Drosophila melanogaster: one gene and its partner. The protein of the gene in region 2 interacts with the protein of the main gene of each other region in a pairwise test. Each region holds a gene or a part of one and is shown on either strand. Other genes may lie near its edges. The genes, in order: Kmn1 and Bub1.

The links.
Region 1: the proteins of Bub1 (region 2) and Kmn1 interact in a two-hybrid assay, tested with the Drosophila melanogaster proteins (one study listed by BioGRID).

Annotation. Positions count from the first base shown.
Region 1 is NC_004354.4:11,570,035-11,574,842, reverse strand, and holds Kmn1 (kinetochore Mis12-Ndc80 network component 1), read left to right. Parts: upstream 1-2,400; 5' UTR 2,401-2,444; coding exon 2,445-2,652; intron 2,653-2,710; coding exon 2,711-3,054; 3' UTR 3,055-3,460; downstream 3,461-4,808. Other genes in the region: CG11696 (uncharacterized protein), read right to left, coding at 1-790, 860-985; Reepl1 (receptor accessory protein like 1), read right to left, coding at 1,319-2,041; CG11699 (uncharacterized protein), read right to left, coding at 3,543-3,674, 3,735-3,976, 4,067-4,133.
Region 2 is NT_033779.5:5,274,819-5,286,926, forward strand, and holds Bub1 (Bub1 kinase), read left to right. Parts: upstream 1-4,234; 5' UTR 4,235-4,541; coding exon 4,542-5,453; intron 5,454-5,509; coding exon 5,510-7,171; intron 7,172-7,255; coding exon 7,256-7,981; 3' UTR 7,982-8,465; downstream 8,466-12,108. Other genes in the region: Nin (ninein), read right to left, coding at 1-962, 1,470-1,550, 1,694-1,913, 2,118-2,362, 3,116-3,371.

The DNA of each region.
Region 1 (4,808 bases), on a different chromosome or scaffold from region 2:
CGCAAATGGCGCAGTCGAGCTTAACATTGGCGGCTATATAGTCGTCCATTTCCTTGATGCTGCTGCGCTTGACGGGCACCTCCGAGGTATCATCATTATCGTCGGCGGTTACCAGTTTCTTGGTCTTGGGTCGGCCACGTTTGCCGCGCGGCTTTGGCTGTTCGTCGGCATCTGGTGTTAGCTCGCCCCCGACATCTTCTTCGTCCTCCTCGTCTTCGTCGCCATCCTGATCATCCTCTGCTCCAGCACTGCTGCGTTTAAGTTCCCTTTGCCGGGCTCTTGATTCCCGTAATGATAACTCTGTGATCTTGGCCTTGTTCTGCTGTTTGCGCTTCTCGTACTTCCTTTTGATGATTTGATGCGTTTGCTGCAGCGCAGTTTTGCGCGGCCTGCCCCTGGGGCGCGGTTTTACCGGATCCGGCTCCGGTTCTTCTTCTTCATCTGGCTGCGATTCCGGCTCGAAGTCCGGTTCAAAGGTGTCGCCATAGTCACTGTCTTTTTCATCGCCCGCGGACAAGGCGTCGATGACGGGTTCGCACAGTATGTGATCCTTGATGTCATCGCCCTCATAGCTGAGCTTTGGCTCGATTGGCGACTCCGTGTTCCACACGACCAGGGCGGGCTCCGGCTCCGTCAGTTCGGGCAGCTCCGGCAATTCAGTTTTCAGCTGCAAGGAGCGGTGCAGCGACCGCTGCTTCTCCGCTACCATGGAACAGAATTGCTCGATCTCGGCCAGCTGCCGCCAGCAGCGGTTGCACAGGCACGTGGACACCACGTCGTTTTCCGCCAACTGAAAGCGAACAATTCAATCATTAGAAAAAAACATCTTTTTGGGGTAGAAAAGTCCAAATCCACTCACCACCAGCAGCAGATGTCGCTCGATCAGCTCGGCCAGCTGGCGATGTGCCGGTTGTCCCATTGGCGGTTCCTGGCCGAAAATGGGCACCCCGTGCTCAGCATCCTCCAGGCAGAGTCGGCATATCATCTCATAAAAGGAAGGACACAAATCCCGAGTCGAATCGCGTTAAATGCAGCTGTTTTTGATTCGTTGCTGAGTTTTGTTATGTGAGCGTTACCGGACCGCGAAAAGAGACCTCCGCGACTGATTGTGCAAACACAAGAAAATAGGCTAGAAAAAATAGCTAAGAAGATAACCAACACATTGGTTCAATATTTTGTGACTAAAATTAATCAATTTAAATGCTTTTTTTGTATAAACTTTATTGCGGTAAGGTTAGTTTATTTCTGAGATGTATGCTTTTTGAAAGCTCTGAACTTTGACAACTTCCGCCTGACATATTGAGGATATCAATTGATGTCACATAAACTGCGACGAAAGATTCATTTCTTGCTGGTTGCTTGATGATGGCTGACGCATTGGCTTCGGCGGCGGTATTGGTCTCTCCTTGGGCTTGGAAATAGGCTCCTTAATAACCAATAAATCAGATTCGGATCCGTGCAGCAGATCCATATTTAAATCGATATTTTCTCCCAAAACCTCGTTGATGGTATCAGATAAGTTACCCATCTGTTTCCGCTTCTCTTCCAACTGCCTTTTGGCTATGGCATCGTTGACCAGATCCTCGATGCTGGGCGTTATTTGGAGGGCAGGACGATGACCGCTGGGCAGGAGATAGCGATCTGCCAAAACCATCAAATGGCTAAGAACGGAGCAAACTTGTTGCCACACCAATTCGCCCCATTCCAAGGTGATACGTCCCAGGACCTGGTCGAAGGATTCGTTACAGCTAAAGGATCGCAGGAACTCCTCGTAGATCACCTCACTGCCGCCGCCCACAGAGGGCAACATCCAGAACAGGAGAAGCACCTTGAACTCACTTAGCAATGGAATAAATGCCAGCAGACCCGCTGTGAAATAATCAAAGGCCACATAAACTCCATAGGCAATCCAGTAGATTAACCATCCGCGAAGATCATTGACGCTACAATTCTGACTTTTCAGGATCTTGTAGGACGCGAATGCTGGATAGAAACAGCCCACCAGAAGGGACAGTATGTGTATCACGATCGCATAAATCATTATTTGGAAATTTTGGATAATCTTAAAATTTTGGATTTTGAGAAAGTATATATATAGCTGTGTATTCGGTTCTCGATTTTGTTCATTTGGTTTGACTACTTGAACAAATACAATAAATTGAAATGTGATTCTAAACGCAAGGCCTGCTTAGCATTCATAAAATGACTTATGCCCTATAACCCTTTTCCCCTTTTTTAGTTCAGCTTTTTTTCAATGAGTATATATCTTTTTATTAATATTAAAAGTGCAATTTTTTATATCGTATATTTTAATTTGTATAAAAGGTTTTGGCTTGAAAAGAGCCAGAGCGAATTACGTTCAAAAGATGTGGCATCACTGGATCAGCGATGGGTGTTGGCAAGCGTTTACGGATTTAAAAACTGAAAACAAACGAAGCGACGCGATGGAGCCAGCCGAAAGTCCAGAAAAATTAATGAAATTCGTACGCCGCAGTGACGTACTGGAATACGTGGGCAACACGAGTGCCGTCGATCTATCGAGCGGTGATCTCTCCGACATCGATCTCAAGGACGTGCCGGCCCAACTGGAGGCCACTTTGAAACCGCGTCGCTATGAAGCAAGCACTTTGTTTAACATTGACCTGGACGATAGTAAGTGCAATCCTTGTGGTTAATTAAATTGCCATTTACTTAACGTACAGACTTTCAGTCTGGGATCCTAGCTGTCAGGAGGACGAGGTGCAGCAGTACAAGGAGCGCGCCCAGAAGGAGCAGCAAAAGTTCTTCGACTTTGTAATGCATGCGGCACTGGACACGGACAATCGCAAGGTTAGCTTCAAGCCAAACAAGGAGCAGCAGCGTTACCTAGATCAGGGACCCAATTTGCAAAACTTCGTGCGAAGCTCGTTGGCTTTCACAAACGCGGCCATCCGATTTCAGGCGGAGCACGAGGACATGATGGAGCTGCAGTGCAATATGGACGATCACTACCTATTCATGCGGAACACCATGATCAACAACGCTATACACCAGAATATGGCCAACCAACGGTGACCCTAAGCTATGCATAAATATACATATGTGAATTGTAGATATTGATAAATTAAATTAAGACTCAGAGATTGTAAGACGGTTTGCTTTTGGCTTATACAGTATAATTCGCTTAGCTGCCTCGAGTACTTTGCACAATGCCTCGATGCAGGTAACTTAAAAATGCAGCTAACTTAATTTTTTTTTTTCTATTTTCTATTTTCTATTCACACAAAAAAATGGAAAAATAATGCAGATATCTTGCCGATGCAGCTAACTATCGATGCAGCTAAGCGAATTATACTGTATTTATTTCTACCCTAATATGTAACTCCCTAAGTTGCACTTCTGATGATGGCTGCCTTTAAGTCTGACCGAAAGAAATGAAAACCGATCAAACGTCTTGAAAACATTGTCTGTATGTAAACTGAAGTTAACAAAGGTTTCGTTTTATGTTCTGGTCTACTCAGGCGTTAGGTCTACTTTAAATTGTGTGTATATTTGTGAGCTGCTTATTCCTTGTTCCAGGCTGCCAGGTATTTCATGAGGTCCGTGAGACTCTCGAAATCGGTGCGGCTGGCTGGTGGTTCGTCCTTGGTGATTCTTGGCAGTGCATTGCCCATCTTGAGGCGGAACTCCTGGAACTGCGAACGAAACGAAAGATTTAAAGCGAAATTCATTGAACAAATCGGAGGCATGCTCACATCCTTGGCTCCGGATAGCTTCCAGAAGCCGTAGCAGAAGGCGCCGGTGCCCATCACGGCGTACAGTGTGCCCCAGCCCAGCGCCCGCAGGGCCAGGGTGGCGCCCTCGTCCATCAGGATCATGCCTTGCCGCGTTCCAGCCTGCTGGAGGACCTTGCTATCCGTCTTCTTGGCGGTGGCCAGCGTGCGCGAGAAGCCGAACAGAGCGGACACCCCGCCCACCAAACCCAGAAAGGCGGCGGCTAGAAAGGAGGATGAAATGGAGTTGTACTTCAGTCAGTTGCTGGCTGATATATATGCGTGTGTCTGTATGTGTTTGGAGAACCACCTACCCTGGATGCGGAACTTGCGCTCCTTCTCGGCGGCCACTGCATCCGCGCTGGTGCCGGCCTCGCTCATCCTTCTCAATTGCGATTTATTGTTGTCGTAACTACTAATGCCCGAATTGGATCGCACAACACAGCTGATTGCTTGACCGCTCTTGACAACCAACACTGGTGCCGCAGCTGCCACTGCCACTGACGCGTTCGCAGAGGTGCTAAGATGGCGGGAGGGAAGCTAGAAGTGAAGTGCTAAAAGATAGTTCAAAATATTCAACAGGTACTGGCCTTTCTCACTGACTATGAGAGTCAATTTGATTTTAATGTGCTGCATTTAATTTATTTGTTAAATTACTAACTAATACTAATAGATATATTTATATAAAAGATATAGCTAAAAAACGTCAGTCTGGCAACCCTGCTACAACGACCGCAATATGGTATGGTATTTCGCCGCTCGCCCTGCAGTCACACTTTTCGGTCGGCGTTGTCCGCATTTTCACATCGCATCGCGTCTGAAAAAACGGGCTAATTCGCATTCGCAATCGCCTGTAGGGCCCGACTGGTATAGAATGCACGCCCAGCGTGCCAGCAACAAACAGTGATTGTTTACCCAGCCTTCTATTTGGGCTTTCGCGTTTTTCGAGCTCCTTCTTTTCCCTTCCCGGTCGTATCCCTTGCCTTTTGCACGAGGTGAAAAGTGTGACGACGCAGCAGAAAAAGCAAAAGCAAAAAAAAGGTGGAACAAAAAAAA
Region 2 (12,108 bases):
GCTCTCCTCTGTTAGATGTGTTTTGCTCGGCGAATCCCCACGCCTTTTGGTAGCCGTGGCCGCCGACTCCTGGTCCTCTTGTTTCTCCTGTTTTTCTTGCTTTTTAGCCTTGGTTTTCGAGCGAATTAGTTCCACATTTAAGCTCTCGATTTCGATGGTCAGTTCGTCAGTCTTGTCACGCAGCTGGGCGTTCTCCATTTGAAGAGCAGCCAGCTTCTCCATTAGCTGGAGCATCTCCTCCTCCTTGTCCTCGCTATGCCTTCTCGGTCGCAATGGACTGTGCTCCGGGGTGCCACCAATGCTGCTCGACGTTTGGGCCAGTTCCTGGTTGAGCTTAATGTTCTGTTCGAGAAGCTCTGTGATTTGGATGTGAGCCTTTTGCTGCTCCGACTCAAGCTCCGTGTTCTCAGTGCGCACCAGTTCAAGTTCCGTTCTCAGACGGATCTCCTCCTGCTCAAGCGATTTAAGCTGTGCCTCCAGCTTTCCCGTCATGCTGGTCCAGTGATCGCGGTCATTAGTCATCCGCAGCGTTATTTCACGCACCATGCTGGCGTGTCTTTGCTCCAGCTGCTGCACCTGCTTCTTGGAGTTATCCTCCAGCGACGCATGCCGCTCATCCACTTCCACGGCAAGCAAAGCCACCCTTTGGTTGGCCGCCTTATTATCGGCCCTCAGCTTGAGGTTCTCCTCATGCTGCTGCCTATAGGCAAGTCTGTAGTTGCCCAACTCGGTGGCCTGCAGAGCAGCCAGAGCGCGCAACATATTCGATTGCTCGTGATCCCCATCGATGCCCCGCAGCTCCTCCTCCAATGCCTTAGTTAGCTGCTGCAGGTTCACCTCCTCCTCCTCATCGAATCCCAGGACGTGAAGTAGGTTGCGAGTGTTGGGAATGCTGGCCAGCTCCCAGGCTTCCATAATGCTATGCACTGAGATCGTCTCCAATTGCTGCGGCGTCACGGTGTCTGTAAATCATGGCAATTAACAATTAGCGTGGGACGAATGAGATTGGCTTCGCTGTTGTATATACACATTTATTATACATATAGCCCAAGATACCAGGTGGGTGTGGGATTGGATTGGGATTGGGAGTGGGGAAGGGTGTGTGTGTGTGTCGATGGTGTAAGCAAAAGCGCCGAAAGTTTGTTATTTCTCTATATCAAATGGCTTTTCGAAATGAGAAATTTTTGGCGTGTTATTTTAAGAGGTAGAAACTAATAAATCAAGAAAATAGAACAAATTATAAGTAAATATCCTTTCTAACTGAAATTGATTTATATGAAATCCTTAATTAAATTGATTGTCAATGCATTACAGCATTACTAAGGGTTGAAAATGTAGGATATGTGATTATACGAGTAAATAGAACGAATCAAATGTGCGGCTACATAGGGTGCGATTAGATACCGAATGACTGGGTTGGGGATTCGGTGGGTGTGAGGGTGTTGACAATTGCTTCAGAGCGCACAAACCTTTGCAGCATGACCAACGGCCGCCGTGGTAGCATCTCCAGTGCTCGGACGACGGTGCGGGATTGGTGGCCAGGCGATGGCCTACGGTGTGTACCGACAAACAAGTGTTTTGCTTTTAACATTGCTTCAAACGTAATTTTGGCATTTTGGGCTAACAACAACAGAGGGTGGCAGGGACAAGGGGGATCGGCTAGCCAAAGCTGGTCTGGCCAGAGGAAACTTACCCAGTGATTCCACGCTGCTGCTGTGCTGCGCCTGGCTCTGGATGGAAAGCTGTTTCAACTTGGCCGCTGCCGTCGGTGATGTAGTGGCTCCCGTGGTGTTGCTGTTCATCTTCCGGCGTGCTGGCAGTGAAGCACAACGCTTCAGTTTGCTCCCGCTGGTGTGGACGGACCGCAGACGCCGGCTGCCAGGAAGATCGCTCTGGGACGAGGAACGTTGCACCTGTGTGGTTTGGAAAAATAAGATGCTTATGATGATCATGATGTATATTTAAGATAATTTGTTTGCTTTGGTAGTGCTACTTAGGCATGCTCTACTGTATCAGCAATAATAACGATTAAACAAAATCTGTTTACTATGCAATTTTGCATACATAACCAGAAGTTGTATCGCCACTTCGTACGTGACTTGACAAACGACACTCACCTGAACTCCCAGCTCATCGCATCCGTTGAGGCTTCGCTGATTTTGCTGCTGCTGCAACTGGTCCTCGTCCGTATTGTCCGAGTCCGTGACGGATAACTCGTAGATTCCCTGCTGTGGCCTAGACCGGCGACCGTATTTCTTGGTGCCCACGACGAGTTTGGGTGAAACCTCGCGATCGGAAGACTCCGGCGGACTCTCGATGTATGTGTTGTTTAGCGGCTCATCCGTAATCACCAGTGAACGCTCTGGAAGATTCAATAGATATAAGTTAGCAGAGAACTGGAAGAGTTGTATGGATCTTAGGTGGCTACCAAAACGAGCGGCTAGCTTCTCAATTATCGGATCTGTTAACTGACCGCCGGATCGGCGGTAATACAATCGTGTTCCCATTTTGATTTAGACTAAACTGCCCAGGTGAATGTGTCGCGTATTTATACAGGACATTGTAACCATCTACCTGATAAGGATCATGCAGGATCAGGTAGTCGAGAACAGTTGGGAGTCGTAAAAAAGTGTCAATTGCATCTATGATTTTATGATCGCCAGCTGCCGCCGTGCTAATCCGCGTGCTGATTATGATATTCGTACCCTAAGGTGTCCTAAATTTGCCCAGAAGTTTCCAAATCAGATAAGCGGAGGTTTGAAGTAAATGTGCATAATCCTTGCAAATTAGCACGTAGATGGTAGCACTTCTTTGAGTATTAAGTAATGGCTTTGTTCATCTATAGACTGCTAGAAATGTGTTCATTAGATCAGTGTTTTATTAATAGGGAAACCCACACGGTTCCAAATCCGTGTCAAAATTGAATTACTATCTCTAATAAGTGGCTGGCAAACATTCCGTAATTATCTGATGTTGCTTGATGGGTAATTAAAGCGCAATTACAGATAAAACGTATGTTGTTTTATGCGAACCTGTCGCGTTAGCTTATAGCAAATATTATCTTTATACTATATAAGTTAATCTATAGCGTGATCGATTCTTTGTGCTATCTCACCAATGAAACCCGATGACGTATTACCATCGAACTCGGAGCCCAGGAAGTTGAGTAGCGCCTCCTTGAACTGGCCAAAGGACACGCCCAGCTGATGGCTGCCGCCCAGGCTGGCGATCAGTGCGGATCCCTGATCCCGGAGCTCCAGCAGTGAGCAGAGCTTCAGCAGGGACTTCTCGTCCAGAAGTCCACACTGCGTCTCGCAGCTGCGGAACATTTGGTAGAGCTTCTGCTCGTACGGATCGGCGGATACCTCCATTATCCGTAACCCGGGGAATTCAGTTTGCTGCCGTTCCAATCGATCGGCTGCTCAATTGCGTTTTCACTTCGCTTTTTTTTTCTTGGGGGGAAAATCCACAAACGCAGTCAGGGGTCGAAAACAAGAAAAGTGAAATATCGGGGTCTATGTGCGTGGGTGGCGGGGGAATCACGCGTGTTTTTTGGACAGCAGGCTGTTTGAGGGGTTACTAATACTACTAATCTATGATATGCACTTCGGAACGCAACATAAACACTCGCGGGTTTGCGGTTTTTTTGGGAATAGCGTAATTTCTAGCGAGTTGATAAAAAACAATAATGCAGTAATAGCGAGCACGGTGGCGCGCTCTGGAGGGCATTAAGCAAACTTGCATCGGAGGTGGCACTATCGTGGACCATTGTTCCTATCGTTATACAACTATCGTTTAGGATTTGAATATTTATATTACAAAATAAATAGATAACAAGGGAGAACGTAATGCCATATAATAAATCGCTAACTTTACTTGGAAAGCTTCAGCTCCAACCAGACCCCTTATTAAAGTAGAAAACTTGACATAAATTGAAATCATCCGATTAACATGTTGTTTTCCAATAATAGATTATAATTATACAAAAAGTATATCAAATAGGAAGTGCTTCATAGCACACACACATATATTGTGCGTCATTCAAACTACAATAATTTAAAACAAAGAACCCTATAGTTTTATTAATAAAATTGAACTTTGGCAACAAATAAATAAATAAAAAGTAAAGTTGTACAAAAAATTGCTTTTGTTTAAAAATTCCCAACAACACGTTTCTATCGCACTATCGATAACCTTGTGCATAGCCATCGTCAACAGTGACAGCCAATGGTTCTATCGATTGTTTGGCAGCACTAATAAATTCCATTTGCAAGCTGAAAAGCAAGAAAAAATACAAAATATCTTTGAGCATTGCAAACTGTTGAAAAATCCAACTGAAAATCATGTGTATGTGCCACCAGTGACAGCCGAAGACGCCGAGGGATTAACTGAGTTAGTGGACCCTAACCAGTCCAATCGGCAAGGGGCACTACATTCCGCAATCCGAGACTTTTTGGTGGTGACCCGTAGAAACCACAGTCTCGCATTCATTTGTTTGCATTACGGCGCAGCGGGATCAGAGGATTCCGCGTCCGGCCGAGATGGCCATGCACTCGTACATGCGCCAGGGATCGGGTTCCGGAGGAGGAGCAGGAGCAGTCGCAGCTGGAGCACCGCCGCTGGCCAGCCCGGACGAGATGCACGGCTTCCTGAACGACAAGCAGGCTTGGGAGCACGCCATATCCCTGTACCAGGGTCCTGATCCACTCGATCATTGGTACAACTACATCTGCTGGTACGAGAATCACGCGCAAAGCGATCCGGAGCTAAAGTACCGCGAAACTCTGGAGCGCTGCCTGACGGTGTATGAGCACAATGACTACTATCGCCAGGATGTCCGTTTGGTGCGGCTGTGGCTGAAGTACATAGCCATGCAAACGGATCCACTCCATTTCTACCAGGTGCTTTTTCAGCGAGGAACTGGTCGCCAGGTGGCCGCCTTCTACATTGGATGGGCTGCCTATTACGAGTCTCGCGAGGAGTATAAGGATGCGGAGGCGGTGTTTAACTTGGCCTTCCAGGAGAAGGCGCAGAGCACTTCCGAGCTGCAGCACGCCCACACCAAGTTCGCCTATGCCAGGTCTCTTTTTTACCAGCGGCAACAGCAGCAACAACAGCAACAACAGCAGCACCAGCAACATCCCCCGCAGGATGCACTGCAGCAACTCACGAACTATGCACAGCAGCAGATGCCACAGAGCTATAATCAACACCGTCCCCAGCCATATCAGCAGAATGTCTATCAGCAATATCATCCGCAGGCGCAGGCACATCAAGCCCCACAGCCTCATCAGCCGGCGCCACAACAGCAACTGCCGCCAGAACAACAGGTCCCCTATCAGACACACTACCAGGAGCGGCCGCGCTATGAACCACATCCTGCAACTCAGTCCCCAACAGCAATACCACCATCCCAAGTCCAGCAACAATCGCATTATGCTCCTGTGGCAGAGGTGAGCATTAAATTTAATATCAAAGCTACTTGATAAATACTCCTTTTTTGTTTTAGTCCCATTATGCACCAGCCCAACAGTCACAGTTGCCGCCGCAACAAACTACAGTACCGCAGTTGCACGCACAGCAGCCGCAGCAGCAACAAAACGGCAACGGCAATCCACCTCCTCAACAAAGTCCTCCGGTGACAAATGAAGTGGCTGGCCTACGCTTGCCGCGCAATTTCCACGCCTACGGGCGCAACAACCATGAGACATGGAAGCCGGCTCTAACGCTTGAAGAGCCTGATGATCCCTCGCGCGTGTGCCACTATGCCAAGCAGTTGGTATATCCACCAGGAGCAGGCGTCGAGTACAGTCCCGAAGAGATACTAGCCCGCAAGTTTAAGCAGTTAATGGATCAAAAAGCCAAGCCATCGGAGCCGCCAGAACAAGAACAGCAAACTCTTTATGATTCCTACGAAACTGAGAAATCTTACTATATGACTGCTGTGGATGGAGCTCTTTACGGGCAGAACACCAGCAGTGGTCAGGAGAATACAGGTGAGGAAGATGAGGACAATGACGCCGAGGAGGGAGAAGAGGAGGAGGATGGTGGTGAAGAGAACGAGGAAGATGACTCTGATGAAGAGGAGGAAGACGATGAAGAGGAAGAGGAGCATAGCGGACCGTACACAAATGGCGTGCAGTTCAGTGCGCAAACCACTTTCGAGCAAGAAAATCGATCGATTAAGATCAAGTTCAGGAAGGAGCCCAGCAGCACCTACAGTGCCTATACCATAGAGAATGTTTACCAGCAACAACAGCAGCAGCAGCAGGAGCAGCATCAAATAATCCATCAGCCTCCGCAGGCAGTACATCATCCTTCGCCGGACCCGGCACCTGCTTCTCCGATTCCCATCCAGCGTCAACGCAACGGAAGCCACCACCACTTCCATCCCTACATGCTGGGCCAGACCTCGACGCCGAAGAGCGAGGCGAATGGCTATCGCAGGGCACGCACCAAAGTTAAGCGCAGCAAGTTCCAGCCGGATCTCTGCAGCAACAGCAACTCGGCATCCTCGGTGGCTGATGTGGCCTCGAGTAGTGTGCTCGCCGGAGCACCTGGCACATTTAATGACAATGCAAACTTTTCGTTCTCCAGTGCCACAGCTTTGGATAACTCAAATAGCTCGCTGGCCTTGGCTGTTGATAGACTTAACTTCCGCGACACATCGCAACAGCAGATCCTCCATCCGGTCAATAAGACCTTACAAATTCACAACAACAACAATAACACCAGCAACAACAATAATGGCACTAGCACCATGGCCGATTTCTCCACATTTCAAGAGAACTCGTACTTCGCCACTCAGCACGACACGGAGGCCCAGGAGCGTCGGCTATCGAAGGCCGTTGAAACGATAGCCCGCCACATGGACAAGGAGGCCATCGATCCGTTCAACAGCGAACTGTGCCGCGCTTTTCTCGCCAAGCTAGATTTTCCGGGTAATCACGATGCCCATGCCAGTTACAAGATTGTCCAAACGCCACTGCCAAAAATATCCAACACTCGCACGCTGAACGTCCTGGAAGGCGTTACCTTTAGCATCGACAAGGAGGTGGGTCGCGGCTCATATGGCTCGGTTTATAAAGCCACTGATTCTCGGACCGGCAATGTAGTGGCGCTCAAGTATCAGAAGCCCCCAAACACCTGGGAGATATACATATGTGATCAGGTAAGAAAAATTATATTTACCACTTATATTAAAGTTTTTTTTTGCCAAAAAGATTTGGGTGTTAATACATATTGCGTGTTTTAGGTGCTGAAACGCATCAAGGAGCCAGAGGTGTTGCCTGGCGTTATGGACATTTCCACGGCGATCATCGCCCCAAACGCTAGTCTAATAGCCACCGAGTTCTCACCGTTCGGTTCGCTGCTGGACATCAACAACAAGATCCGCCAGGCAACCACCAAAGTAATGCACGAATCGCTGGTGATGCACTTCTCCGCACAGATCTGCAATATCGTGGACCACCTGCATCGCCAGCACATCATCCATGCGGACATTAAACCGGACAACTTCCTGCTAATGCGTGTGCCCAATGTGGACAGTCCGTTGCCATCGCTACGTTTGATTGACTTCGGCTGTGCTATCGATATGACCCTGTTCCCGGACGGTGAGAAGACCAAGTTCCGGAAGGTGGTGCAAACGGATGGCTTCACCTGCATCGAGATGCAGGAGGGACGCAGCTGGTCCTACGAAACGGATCTCTTCTGCATCGCGGCGACCGTTCATGTGATGCTCTTCGGTGACTATATGCAGCCGCAAAAGAAGGGCTCCAGCTGGGAAATACGACAAAAGCTGCCGCGTTACCTCAAAAAGCATGTGTGGACCAAGTTCTTCGGGGATCTGCTCAACATGCAGGCGGACAAACTGCCAGCGCTGCATGAGATGCGTCTCATCTTCGAGGAGGAGGCGTACCGCATGGACTCCGAGCTGCAGAAGCAGATACGCACCCTATCCAACATCCTGCATCGACGATAACCAATCTATTCCTATTCCTTTCTGTTAAATTGTTTTGCATATAACTCTGTTGACCAAGTCACCCATTTATATTGTTTCAGTTTTTATTTTAAAACAATTTTCCCTCTTCAAAGATGATAAAACCAAACCGGGAAAAACTCCGCGTTCTAATTTTAAACTATTTTTCTGCGAACAAACTCCCTTTTATTTATTGTTTTGATGCCAAAAAAAAAAACGAAAGCAAAAAGTACGCTACAAAATTCAAAAACATTGTAAATATTAGGCACAGACTCGATCTAAAGCAACGTTTACGAAATGAGTTTGTGGAAAAAAGGCCCTGGATTTAAATGTAATTTTTTTATGTACAGCACAATAAAACAATATATTGAAGGCAATGTAAAAAAAAAAAGAATCGTACATAAATATGTTTAAGATTAGTGCTTGCTGTACTATTGAGTAATATATAAAGATCTTTAAATAATAGTGAATAAATTGACGAAATGTTAAAGCAAAAACCATATGAATTGCAGCGCGAAAAAGGAAAGCAGTGGTAACCCAGTTTCATAAATCAAATGCCAAAGTGGCGAACCCATAATGTGTGTGTTGCAGGCAATTGTCAATTTAGTGGGGGCATGCAACAAGTAATAGCAGCAACAGCAGCGCCAGCATCAACAACAATGCTGCGCTTGACCCACTTTTCCTTTTTGCCAGTCAACCAAACGGCGCACAATTTCCACCAAGCGACTGGAAAAAGTTGCAACTTTTCATGCAACACACACACACATCGACGGTTGGAAAAGCTGCAACAGGCACACAAAGTCAAAGTCGACGCCTGCGCTGCGGCTTTTTGTTGCTAGTTGCTTGAAACTCGAAGCTTGCAGCTTGTTGCTGGCTGCTCGTTCGCCAAGTGAAAGTAAAGTGGGACAAATGCAATTATTATTGCATCTAGTAACCGACTTAGAAGTCGTGGCGCGAAACTGCAACTTGCAGCCTATGCAGTATGCAGTATGCAGTTGGAAAGTTGCTCTGCCGGCGTCGCTTTTACACAATATTTTATTTAATCAAATTGCAAAGAGAAAATTGCAGCAGGCAGTCCGCCGGCGATTGGCGAAAAACTTTCTATTTTTTTGTGTGTCGACTGCAACGTCAGCTGCAGCATTAGATACTTCAGCGGATTGTTTTGCATGCGATAAATTAATGAATGTGCCCCAGTTTCGGGGCCACGGGCATTGAGTGACAAACGGAGTGGCGAAGCGAAGCGAATGACAATGCGGCATTTATTAGATCACTGGGGCACACCGATCTCCATCTGGATGCCATACCAATACCCATACCTATTCCCGATTCCGATCACCCGATATGCCAGCCAAAAACACAAAGCAAGATGACAACAAAAGTCAATAGAAATGGGTAGAAAGAAATTCGTTAATAGATCAGTTAAGTGCTGAGCTGCGGACACTTAACTCGTTTCTAATTAAGCTGATGGCCAACAGTATTTGGCTCTCCACCGAAGGAAAGTCTTAATCCCAGAAAAGTGGGGAGACTTTTCGTTAAGTACCCACCAGCAATTAACTTGGCTAAGATCAAGTTACCAAGCTACGCGTTTTCACCATCTGGACAGGTGCCTAAGCGGATTAGCCAGGATTTAAAACCAAGATGATATGATGATTATGATACGATGATCTCATTATGATACGATTTAAAAAAAAATTAGCTAGATAATTAAATAAATTTACGAACTTAAAATCATAGTTTCATATCTTAAATGTAATAGTACTTATTACAAGAATACTTTCATAATAATATCTATATCTCTTTTTGTTGACTTGAAAAAATCTATGTATATTAAAAGATTCATTTAATGCCATATTCTATTATATTTTTTAAATATCCTTCTTTTATTTTCTTTACCTAAAAATTACCCATTTCTATTAGTAAGTAGCTCATATTTTGTAACTTATGAAGCACGTCTTGTTTCTCCCCCACTGAAGATCACTCAATGATGACCGATGGACTCGACCAAAGGAGCGTTAACAACTTGCGTTTGTGGTAAGGACCGATCTGAGTCACCCTTGGGAATTTAGGGTAGAACAACGACTACCAGTCGGTTGGTTGGTTAGTCATTCCTGTGACTAAGTGCAACTCCTCGCTAGCAAGTCGTGCAAAATGGTGGCATGCAAAGGTTACTAAGGGGACCCTACTAGATTCGCCTAAGTGGCAGTTGCAACAGGCGGAATGCATCAGTGGCCACACACAAAGCCAGCAAAATACATACATGCACTCGTACGAGTATGTGTGTGTGCAGAAAAACCAGCCAAGACCCCCATCCCCGGCAGATAGCGATACTGCTCACCCCTCGAATGCCATGCAGTGTTGGCCATTTGATTGTCATGACCAACTTTTCACTGCCGCACCGTGTTGCTGCTGCTGTTGTTGCAGCCGCTAATATGCAACAACATGCAACAACTGTTCGCCAATTGCACGACAAAGCGAAAACTGGGAAAATAGTTAAGTAATTTGCAGTGGAAAGCAGTGTCGGAGAAATTCGATTCGATTTTCTTGCTTTCTGGCTGCAGTGCGGTGCATGTGCATCATGGCACACATAATGTTGATGCCACGTTGCGAGCTGCAGTCGCCGCGATCCACATCCGTTTGCAGTGCTGTTCGCTGTTGCCGCATTAGAAAGTTGCAACTGCAACAACTGTCATGGGCCGCTTGCTGCAGCTTTTCTTTTTCCCACTCGCCGAATTGGGGCTAACGTGTATGTACTGTACAGTGTGCACTATGCAACAGCACCCACCCCCCGCCGCTGCCATCGCTTGTAATGAGTTTTGACCTCATAAAATCTGTTCGCGAATTTTCCCTACTATTTTCTCTTCTCGCCAAATATTTTGCATCTCGCCGAGGGAAACTTGAGTGGGATGGAGAAACTTTTTTTTTTTGGCGGAAAACTTTAATAAGCATGCGGTGCACCGATTGCTGCTGACAAACGTGAAAAAGGAAAATTCTCGAACGAAAAACGATATCTAGCATCCGGTAATTGACCCACTAAAATATGATCAATCGATTGGCCGCTTAATAACTATCTTTATGGGGCAATACAACTGGTTTGATGAGTCATTAATTGCAGCATATCTCAATCAATCACGATTGAATATGTGATTTTTATTAATATTTCCTTATATGTCTTAAGGATTTAAAAGCCGCCAACTGGTAGTGACCTTCAGCAAATCGATAACTAATTTGATAAGTAATACTTTGCAGTTGTGATAACAGCTCATGTGTGGTAACTTCTTATCTTTATGCCGCTTATAACAACCAAAACCTATGCCAATAATCATGACATCACTGAAGTGAGTCATTCTTTTATTGAAACAAATATTTGTTCACTAAAATGAAGTATATCTAAATATTTTGTTTTCCCCTAATTAAATGCATGCAAGAAATGTGGTAGTAGTATTTGATTATTTATTCATTGTTTATGTGTTTTATAAAATGCGTGAATATGTTTCCTTGCCCGTTTTCTGGATAATCACACCAATGAACTTATTTCATCAGCCGTCATTCAGTTGACCCCAAAAAAAGTCCTTTCGTTCGGTTCACTACCCCCTGTGTATATGCAAACGTCCTGAAAAGCCTACTTCAAATTCTATTTTCATCACTCACATCCCTACTTACGTATGTATCTCCTAGTCATTGTAATTGCGGTTATCTGGGGTCTGGTGTCAAGTGGCCATGTGACTTTGACCGAGAACGCGGTGGGCCGATGTCCTGTGACCTCGTCGGGTGCATTCAACTGAGGCCGCCATGTGGCAACGTCCGCCGGCCGAGTCAATAGCCGAAATATCCCGAAAAAGCGAGAAATCCTGCCACAAACTGAGCCTGTGACTGGGCCGCGAGTTCGTCGCCCAGAAATTCGAAAGCAGAGAGAGTGTCAGTCTTTCGTAATGCCCACCGCCTAATGGTGGATTTCGATGAAGTCGAAGGACCAAGGACCGACGTCGACCGCTGTCATTGCACTGCCCCGCCCACCGGCACCTGCTGCCGCCTGTCGCCTGTCGCCGCCCACTTCCGTCGACAGTGAAAACAGAAAACCGAAAGGTTATTATAACAATAAGGAGCAGCCAGTGTCTGGACCCCCACCACAT